Schizosaccharomyces pombe: one gene and its partner. The gene in region 1 interacts genetically with each later gene. Each region holds a gene or a part of one and is shown in the gene's direction. Other genes may lie near its edges.

Region 1 (6,138 bases):
TTGCCATTCGTGATTCTGAGTTGGCTAAAATTCCCGAAACCCTTTTTAATGCTTTGTCTTTAAGTCATCCTGCTGTTGGTTTACAGTTGTCAAAAATTATTGCAAACAGAATGAATTTGCTTCTTAATAACAAATCTATGGATGGAATGCAACATCAACCACATGAAAAACACAGCATTAGAACTCTAGCTATAGTCCCTTCTTCATCCACAGGTTTGCTCATTCTTTTCTCTCAAAAGCTTACTTCTGTGCTGTCTGTTATGGGAAAGTCGGTGAAGGTACTTAGACAATCTTCGGTTTTAGAGCATTTGGGAAAACATGCATTTAGTCGTATGGGCAGATTTAAGCTTTCAAGTTACCTAAGTGATCTCGAAGACAAATATGATATACTAATATACGTCGCTGATTCTGGTGTGGGCAGCGCTTGGTTGCAAACTTGCATCAGGCAGGCTGACTGTATCTACATTCTTGCTGAAGCCGATCAAAATCCAAATATTGGAGAATATGAGCAACATCTTATTGCTATGAAGTCAACTGCTAGAAAGGAGTTAGTCTTGCTTCACCCCGAAAGATTTTGCCCATCAGGCTTGACAAGACTATGGTTGAAAGAACGACCTTGGGTTTATGCCCATCACCATGTCCAACTACGCATTGGACTTGATAACGAAATATCCCAAAATAATGAGGCTAAGGTATTTTTAAACATTATACGAGCAAAAGTACAAAATTTGCATTATGGCTTTCGAAAGTACATTGATTGGAAGCACTTGCATCCGGTGTACCAAGCGAATCGTGCCCAAGACAGCGATTTTGCTCGTCTAGCCAGAAGGATTTGTGGAAAAGCCATTGCACTTGTTCTTGGTGGGGGTGGAGCTAGAGGCATTTCGCAAATCGGCATTCTATATGCGTTAGAGGAAGCTGGAATTCCATTTGACATTATTGGAGGAACCAGTATTGGAGCCTTTAATGGTGGTCTGTACGCATGGGAGGCGGATCTGGTCCCGATGTTTGGTAGAGCAAAGAAATTTTGCGGACGTATGGCGAACCTATGGCGATTTGTACTGGATGTAACGTATCCACAAGCAGCGTATACCACTGGGCATGAATTTAATCGTGGTATATGGAAGACTTTTGGGGAGATACATATTGAAGACTTTTGGTTACCGTTCTACGCCAATACCACTAATATTACCCATTCTCGCATGGACATCCACTCGAGTGGTTATGCGTGGAGATACATTAGGGCTAGTATGTCGCTTGCAGGCCTCGTCCCTCCCATGCTTTCGGATAGTGGGGACATGCTTTTAGACGGTGGTTATATGGATAACTTGACAGTCTCTCATATGCAATCATTAGGTGCGAGCTCAATCTTTGCCATTGATGTAGGTAGTGAAGATTCCCGCGAGCCAATGCATTATGGAGACACAGTGTCCGGTGTTTGGGCCCTGATTTCTCGATGGATTCCATTTATTCCTAAAACATCGTTTCCTTCATTGGCTGAAATTCAATCTCGCCTTACTTATGTTACTAGTGTTGCGACAGGTGAAAAGGTAAAATCGATGCCTGGATGCTTTTACATGCGACCTCCTGTTAAAGATTTTCCGACTTTGGAATTTGGAAGTTTCGAAAAAATCTATAACGTCGGCTACAATTACGGAAAAGAGTATGTCGAAAAATTGAAGACATCTCACAAATTAGATGATATTCTTTCTCCACGCGATACATCCAAGCGTCATCCCAAGTTTTTGTCTTCAAGACGTAATTCTTTGTAAGAAGGGTAAGATTTCGCATTTACTATGTTTAATCAGAACCGCATATGAAAGGTTTGCATAACGATCTCATGCACGTACTCTAGCAATACTTCGAATTAAATCATTAAACTTCGGAAGCGCTTACTATTATGAATAAAATTGACTATTTTATGAGAATCTCGGCAAAACCTGTGGCTTCTTTTAGTTAATACCCAGTTTGACCGATGGTAAATAAAGTTATTTTTTACTTTAGATTTATGAAAATTACTTTTCATCTCGTGCAGCTTTATTTTGCATACTTATCAAACCCCGGCATCTGCAATATTACACGTTTAAGCGACGAGATAGCGTTATCTTCCCAACGGTATTGAGTATATATATAGGCTCCCCCCCCAGCGTTTTAGTTCATCTTTACCTTCAACGTTAGATTGAACACCATTTTACCAAAAGATGATACACAAGCAATGATCATAGAATTTTATCAAGGAGTTTCGAAGATATATTAGTACTAATATTTACGAGATTTAATAGCAATACTATATTGTCCATTGTTTATTGTTACGTTACGTTAAATAATAAAAAGGTTATGATGCTAAAGTTCGCTAAAATTATTTAGTGTAATGCGCTATATGTGAGATTAAGGGTTAGATACGAAAACGCCTAACCTTTTTTCTACCACTTTCAGTGTGTCTAACCAGAATCTATTGATTTTGGTAGGAAGAGTATGTCCCTATTGAGAATTCGAAAAGCCAGTTTGTATGGCTTTTCAACAGTTTTCATATTATTGCAGAGTTATGCGGTTGCATATCCTTTAAGGGCGTTTAGACAGAATGATGGAATTGGCATTGCAATGAATCCTTCTCAAGATGGAGGTTTCGTTAGTGCTGAAAAGGATTCGGATTTTGAGTATTGGATGAAGCTAATTATTAGCGCTGTTTTGATTTTGTTAGGAGGTGTATTTGCTGGGTTAACTATTGGTCTAATGGGTTGTGATGATCTTCACCTTCAAGTTCTTGAACAAAGTGGAGATGCAAGCGAACGTGTACACGCCAGAAAGGTTTTGAAGTTGCTAAGAAGAGGTAAGCACTGGGTATTGGTGACTCTGCTGCTGGGAAACGTGATTGTCAACGAAACCTTGCCCATTGTATTTGATAGTATTATTGGCGGTGGTTGGCCTGCCGTTTTGATTTCCACCGCAATGATCGTTATATTTGGAGAGGTTATTCCTCAAGCTACCTGTGTTCGCTATGGTCTATCGATCGGTGCTAAGCTCGAGCCTATAGTATTATTCATGATGTATTTGTTGTGGCCCATTGCCTATCCTACTGCTTTGATTTTGGATGCTTGTCTAGGCGAATCGCAAAGCACTATGTACAAGAAATCTGGATTGAAAACCCTCGTTACACTTCATCGTGATTTGGGAATTGATAAGTTGAATCAAGATGAAGTCACTATTATTACAGCTGTTTTGGATTTACGAGAAAAGCATGCCGAGAGTATTATGACTCCCATCGAGGATGTTTTTACACTTCCTATGGATCGAATTTTGGATGAAGACCTCATCGGAGAAATTATTTGTGCCGGTTACTCTAGAATACCCGTTCACAAACCTGGATTTCCTCATGATTTCATTGGCATGTTGTTGACAAAAACCCTGATCGGCTATGATCCTGATGATAAATGGCCTGTTGGCAAGTTCGCCCTTGCTACTTTACCTCAAACGTGGCCAAATACATCTTGCCTTGACTTGTTAAATTATTGTCAAGAGGGAAAGAGTCACATGATCCTTATTTCAAATAGTCCTGGTGAGCCTCATGGTGCCATTGGTGTTATAACACTTGAAGATATTATAGAGGAGCTAATTGGTGAGGAAATTATTGATGAAACAGATGTTTATATCGATGTCCACAAAGGCTTGCCCAGAGTTGGTGAGAACAATGATTTTTGGAATCGTATGCTCCATCGTTCGCATTTGAGTACTATGGCTGCTCTTCACAAGAGCCAACGCAGCCATGACCTGGCTGCCAATGAACATGCTCCGATATTGAATCCCAAGAACTCTGCTCTTAATCCCAGATTAGTGACTAATGATCGTGTCAAGGTGAAGAGCCCTTCGCTTATTCAAAGCTCTACTGGTTATGGGTCAATGTCGCAATCACCTTCTCGCTCCGATTTACCGAGCAAAATTTCAAGAGTAAATGCAGAATTGCAGGCGCATGGCAGTCAGCGTTCCAGCATCGATGTTTCCAAGGAAAACAAATCCTCAGTAGCTGATGGTCCGTCTAGTCAAGCTCATAATGGCCCATCTACACAACCTCCTGAAGCTTTACCGAACGGAACTGATCCTTCATCATCAAAAACAACAGAAAACAACGGCAACCAACAATCGGAAAGGACTGAATCAGCTGATGGAAAAAAGGATAATTCCGGAAGCATATCATCGAATTCTTCTAAGACCTTTACAGGTAAGCGTGTAAGGTTAGGAAATGTTATAGAGAGTAATGTTGTATCACCCGATGGAACGAATCGTATTGTTATTGAACCATTTGAGCGCTCAGTAGATCCTAATAATGCTGACATTGTGGAAATGGTAGAACGCAATGGTATTGTTGTTCCCAAGGTTACGGTCACTTCTCATGAGGACGATGTGGATTCAGTTCATAATACACCTATGAGTGTATCAAGTACACTATCTGTTAAAACGTCATCTTCAAAGGTACCTCGAAATAAGCGGAAACGAAGAAAAGGTAAAAGCAAGAAATAGACGGCTGGATTATTGAATTAGTACTGCTGATACCTTGATACCAGTGTATTACAATCGTTCCTTTGTTTCATTTGTGATTGATTATTTCTATTTATTAAGCTTACTATTTGTCCATTGAGCCAATAAATTAAAGAAATTGGAAAAGCAAACATACACCCCTTTTTGTTTAGTTTGTACTGCGATTAGTTTTAGATTTATTGCTTTAAAGATTTTACAAAACAAGTTTAAAGAATGAAGCTGTTTTGTTCGGACCTGGTAAACATTTTATAATTTATCCCGGCTGTTTAGTCCGATTACACATTGCTGATATTATTTGAATGTTTTCAACTACCTGCTACGAACCTATGCTATGCTTTATGCGTAGCTACGAGAATATTACATTTTTGGGGGGTTTTTAACTTATTTAATTTTTTAGATATGAGAAAGAATAAATTGTCCGCATTTTGAACTAGTATGAAAGTGTTCCCGATTTGCATAAGAGCAAATTAAAGCTTCATTTGAGATTTAACGGCTGTCTTATTTTTTGGACGATGTCGTTTATTCCGAGTGATATTAAAGAGGCACGCTAAGGTGATGAGTAGTAATCTTGCTAAAGTGTAAAGTAAATACACAGTTAGATACAGGGTTGTTTCATAACTAATTGAAAGTCATAAATTCATTGAAATACTACACTTAAAATCTGCTAGGAATGAATACGCTGTACTCCTTCCGCCTCTCTATTGTAGCAACGCAGTTTGATATATGTTTTAACAGTACGTAGTACTGCGGTGAGTTACCTTTGTGATTTATTTATTGCAATACGTAGGTAAAGCAACTGAGTATAGGTATTATACTATATAAACTGTATTGTTACCTATCACAATATACTTATAATTAAACTGAGGGACGACGAGGTTCAGTTGAAGCTCTATTTATAATCTTCCTAATCGTTATTATTATCTTTTTATATAGATCTATATTTGCTCTTAATTCTCAAAAAAAAAGAAAGACCTCAAATGATTTTAACATATCGTATATAGTGATACGCAACGTAGTATCAAAGTGTAGTGTTTTATTGATGACACTATTTTAATTACAGTATTGTTTCGTTCTCGGTATTTTCTTTCTCACGCAGACTATGTTTATTATCTCAAACAGTATAATCTTAAAAAATACATACTAGATTTACTTTCTAAGCCTTAGAAAATACGCTCAATCAACATTCAAAAATTTGTATTTAGAGAATAAAAATGTGGCTATCGGATTTACAGAGTATTTTTTTAATTTCAGGAAAATAAGTTTTAACTGTTTTTATAGAAATTGGGGTCGGTACGACTGCCTTGGGATTTTTGTTCATGATTATGGTAAACATGAATTCTCTTTCGCTACCAAGTGAAATGGATCATCAAATTGACAGAATAAAGTCATAATGCTAACATTTTAGGGAATTTTCATGTTTTTTGATGGACCTCTATTGTCGCTTGGTAATGTATGTTTAGTAAACAAACATCCTAAGTATATGAAGTGTCCTTAGACGTGAATTATTAACTTTCATTTCATTTCATTGACTCACATATATCAACTCTCTATTATTCCTGTATAACACTAATACGTATATAGTTATTACTGGTCTTTGGTTTTTTT
Region 2 (5,063 bases), 280 kb from region 1:
ACCTTTTAACCTCAATTTCCTTTATGCATTCCCATTTCCCGGCCTTACTTTCCATCCGCTTCAGTCCAAGCTGAAGAGTTCCGATTGCTACGTCTATGCCTGCATAAACTCGATACAGTTCGACAATCTCTTTCACTAAATCATTTGTGAGTACATTTCGAGAACGGACGTTGAGTTGTAAAGGAAATCCAAACACATCGTTAGACTGGTATGATCCGGGCATTGCCGGTCGTTTACATCCATGGACGATAGGTATTGTTAATCCGTTTGCAGTACTTCCATAAAGTACAACATGATCCCATTTATGAATTTTTTTAGATATTTTGTCTTTATTTTTCAATACCTTGTACACCTTTCCCCGATAAATGTCACAAGCAGTAAGTTCCCCGCATTCGAGTCCCATCTTTTGAAGCTTTTCCGTAGCTTGAAACTTCATTTGGATTACCGTACTTTCCATGAGAAGCTCCAAATACAATTCCACAGGACTCTGTGTGCCAAATGGCGGGACGTACACTACCTTGTGTCGCCATTTTGCACTAGTAGGAAGTGGAAGAGTAAGATACATGAACGGATCAAACGCAGTTGATTTTTGATAGCATATGGAGCACTCTAAGGTGCTTTTATACATTCCTTGAAACAACTGAACAATTATGGAATCATTTCGTTTTGTATGAATATCCCAACATTGATTTGCAACTCTCTGAACATGTAATGGGTGTTCGTCAAATAAATCTGGCCTTTCAAAGTATGGTTTTATCTGAATTCGATTCAAATCTTCGTGTAACCCGTCTAAGAAAAAGGCGATGAATTCCTGAGAATCTTGCTGACGATATCCAGAAAAATAGGTATTAAACTCGCCAATTATAAATTTGAAAGAACTAGGTGACACCGAGTGCATATCAGCAGTATGATGGATCATCTTCAGTAGACTAGCATAAGACAAGGCAACTTTCCCCATCATTCCCAACGGATTGTTGTAATTAATATCCTTTTCATAAGAATCACTAAGAAAATATTTTGTAAGTTCGTGTGTATGTATCATACATTGAAGGGCAGAATTCATATAGCATGAATTACCCAAATTGTAAAGACCGCAGAGTCCGATTTCTTTATTTATTGTTAAATTTTGCTCTTTGGTTATAGAGTCAGATAACCACTCTCCGTTAGGATGTTGAAACTCGAGCAATAAGCTTCCATCGGCAATATCTATTTCGAAAATAGTCATGCAAACAGCATACTCGGAAAGCAAAGCAATCGCAGGTTGATCATTGAACTCCGACAAACTTACAAACCTAGAAGATAGATTACTTTTGTTTAGATACCATAAACGGAAAGAAGTACCATCAGATATTTGGAAAGCTTCCATCACTTGTTTGTACAAAGACCGAAGGGTATCACTTCGGGAAAAGCTAAACGCATAGGGTTCATCACTATGATATGGTTCATCAATTTGGTATAATGGTGAATAGCTCGTGTTTTCACCGTTTATTGGGTCGAATAAAACGTGCAAAGTAAAGTTTATAGGATAGATATCTACGAATGGCTTTTGCTCAGCAGCCAATCCTACCAAAAGAACTTTTCGCTCTATAGCTAGACCTTCTAATCCAAACCTATATTTGAGTTAGCTAATAACATAATGGGAATTGAAAAGAGGCCTCAAAATCCAAGGGAACCTATATATTTAGGCACCGTGGGAAGTAATGCAAACTACATAAATTAATGAAATATTCAAAACTAAGACACAATGCTTTCAAAACATATATGAATATGAGTTTTGAATTTAATTAATAATGCCTTTTACAAGTACTGTAGAGACCTTTAAAGAAAATTCATACCACTCAACAAGCATATGCCATAGCGAAGCAGAGACAATGCTATAATCAATAGATTCCTCCAAAGAATGTTTAAGCTCGTTTTTTTCATCCAGCAGCCTCCATTGAGTTATAGGACCAGGGTTGTCGCCTTCTCCATATATAAAGTCAACGTATCCTTCGAACCAGTCATAGTCAATTAAAAAGGCAGTTTTTTCTTTTTTCCATTTTTCTTTATCCTCTTTAATTAAATTTATCGAATCTTGGAACGGCAATGAAGCAGGTTGGTCGATCCAAATTTGGGAATATCGAGTGCTTGCGTTTTGAGTAGCAGTTGATGCCATTCTCAAAACATGGTCATTTATTCGTTATATTTTTGTTTCTTCAAGTTCCACTCTTATAAATTGCAAAAAATTGGGGGAATGGAGTTGTTGGTTTAAGTAAACTTGTTGTACCAAATGGTGAAAAAGGATTTATACAGGTGACGCATATTGCTGCCCTCTGTCAAGTTTGAGTTTTCAACAACAATTTGTAAAAGTTGATCTAATCGAAAGAATAAAGTATCAATATATTGCCTCGTCTATATTTAACGATTTAGAAATAGCAACTTTTGAACTTTTCCGGGAAATTTTTTTTTGAATTTTAACCCAACAAGCTACTCAAATTACATCTCAATCAAATTTGAGCGATTGTAAACTTTAATTTTGATTTAATTGTGAATAAAGGAAAAAATTCTTTATACTACTTGTAAAACCTAGTGAAATTTTCTATTCATTTTACAGCGTTTGTCGAAAACCCACAAATAGGACATCAGCAGAGATAAAATTACATTTTGCCGAAAATACACTTATTATGGCCGCTGAACAGAGGAAAATCATAGAACAGTTGATGGGCAGTAATTTGAGTAACTTTACCTCTCGAGGCCTAGTACATTTCACTGATCGCAAAGTTTGCAGAAGCTTTTTATGTGGTATTTGTCCTCATGATATATTTACAAATACTAAAATGGATTTGGGGCCTTGTCCAAAGATCCACAGTGACAAGTTGAAGTCGGATTATGAACGGGCTAGTTATTCACATGACTATGGCTACGAGTGGGATTATCTGGAAGACCTAGAAAGACATGTTGATGACTGTAATAAGCGTATTGATATTGCTGAAGCTCGTAGAGAAAAAACAAAAGAGGAGGAAGAACGGATAGATGAGCTAATGCGAGATATAATACATACCGACCATTCAATTGAAGTTATTATTACAGAAATGGAGGCGCTTGCAAAAAGAAAATTAGTGAATGATGCAGTTAAACATTTTATTGAGCTTAATAGGTTGAAGACATACAGGAAAGAATTATATGATGAAGTGATTTCCATGAATGAAATTCCCAGTCAGGCTAGCACAACGCATCAAAAGCTACAAGTATGTGATATTTGTAGCGCTTATCTTTCAAGATTAGACAACGATCGTCGTTTAGCTGATCACTTCTCAGGAAAAATGCATCTTGGATATGCCATGCTGCGAAATATTGCTAGGGATCTTCGAGCTCAATTAGAGGACCGTGAAAAATCCCGTGATAAAAAGGACGGAGAGAAACAAAGAGATAATTTAGCTTCTTTTGAAGATAAAATCTCAACTTCCTTTGTTGCATAACCTACATTTCGTAATGAAAAAGTGGAGGATCTCAACTAACCGCCTTTATTCGCTTAGTGATGCCTTTTACGCAGACCTATATAGAATCTTATTATTATGTTTACCTTTTTACGTTTATGGTTGTTTCCTTACTTGCTTTTTTACAATATTCTTCATGTCATGCACAAAATAAGTGTACCTCTTATATTTTATATTCGTTTATTTCTAATCTCACAAGGTATATTGATATATGTATTTCAATTTGAATAACAGCTATAAGTATATCCTTAAAATAAAGCAGGAATAAACTCTTTGCCTTAATATTGTCGTACTAACCCAACCATCCTTACTTGTCCTTCAGCAACTGTTTGTTTTGGAGAATCTGAAATCGAAAGGAGTCAAACTATTTTACTAAATTAACTTTTTATTTTATTTTGTATAGATATCCTTGAAAATTCTGTGATTCGAAAGTCCAGTGGCAATGTAGAAGTATTAAACGTTTATCAACGGTTCTACCAAATCAGGGCCGATAAAAGAACTCTCGATTATAATTTACGTTTAATACAATCATATAGAATAAATAAAAACATAACATAGTACTTCCAACTGTAAATTGACTTGCGGCTTACATAGTGTTTTTTGGCATACTTGTGCAAACTACCGACTTCACAATTTACATGGCTCAAGCTTGTAAAACCACATACTCATCTCGTTTGAAAACGGGAAATACATGCTTAATCCAAAAAAATGTTGCAGTATCGACTAGGTCGCATTCTTCGTATACAGGCAGAAATTCGTTGAGAAATGTTCCAGCGGTTAATTACGCCGCATTCGAACAAGGTGAGGATTTTGAAACGCCAGTAGAAACTCCAGAAAAAGAAGAGGAAAAGTTCGAAACGGATGATCGGGGGCTGGCAGTTGGCAGACCAACCGGAAACAACATCTATCCAAGATTCGCGACTAAAACAAGACATATTTACGTTACAGACGAACAGCTTAAATGCGCTGCAGAAGAACGAGATGTATACATACCAATACGGCTGGATATTGAACTGCCCAACAATTATCGACTCAAGGACACGTTTTTATGGAACATGAACGAGCAAGTAATGACACCGGATGTGTTTGCTCAAATCTTGTGTGCCGATTTAGATTTATCTACGAATGTATATGGAACGCAAATTAGTTCCAGTATTCGTGCACAAATCGAAGAGTATGCACCGGTGGCTGAGGTGCCTATGCCAAAGGGGCAGGAAATGCTCGTTGTATTCAATATCCAAGTTCAACTTGCTCAGTTAAGCTACAATGATCAGGTGGAATGGAATTTAACGAGTCCTCTTACACCTGAGGAATTTAGTGTATTAACCTGCAACGATTTGGGGCTTTCTGGGGAATCTCGACCAGAAATTGCCTATGCAATCCATGAATGTCTTTTAAAGTTGAAAAAGAATGCATGTGAGGGTGATTTGCCAGATTACGACAGTGATGCAGTTCCTGGAACGAAGGCTGGACCTCGTCAGGACATGGATACTTTGGGTGCATTATGGCAACCAGTGCTGGAAACAGTTTCCCTTGAAGATGCCAAAAAGAATGAGAACAATCGAGAGAATTTGGTGAAACAATGGC

The links. A genetic interaction does not mean that the proteins touch.
Region 2: mutations in mam301 (region 1) and luc7 together harm fitness more than expected from each alone (negative genetic interaction), as found in Schizosaccharomyces pombe (one large-scale study listed by BioGRID).

The regions. Positions count from the first base shown.
Region 1 is NC_003421.2:1,171,015-1,177,152, forward strand, and holds mam301 (protein Mam30), read left to right. Parts: upstream 1-2,425; 5' UTR 2,426-2,475; coding exon 2,476-4,515; 3' UTR 4,516-4,636; downstream 4,637-6,138. Other genes in the region: nte1 (lysophospholipase), read left to right, coding at 1-1,772; transport protein Got1, read left to right, coding at 5,745-5,766, 5,812-5,858, 5,939-5,983, 6,115-6,138.
Region 2 is NC_003421.2:890,057-895,119, forward strand, and holds luc7 (U1 snRNP-associated protein Luc7), read left to right. Parts: upstream 1-2,455; 5' UTR 2,456-2,663; coding exon 2,664-3,458; 3' UTR 3,459-3,780; downstream 3,781-5,063. Other genes in the region: ubiquitin hydrolase Ubp1, read right to left, coding at 1-1,610, 1,836-2,155; RSC complex subunit Sfh1, read left to right, coding at 4,115-5,063. UniProt on the Schizosaccharomyces pombe protein: Component of the U1 snRNP particle, which recognizes and binds the 5'-splice site of pre-mRNA. Together with other non-snRNP factors, U1 snRNP forms the spliceosomal commitment complex, that targets pre-mRNA to the splicing pathway.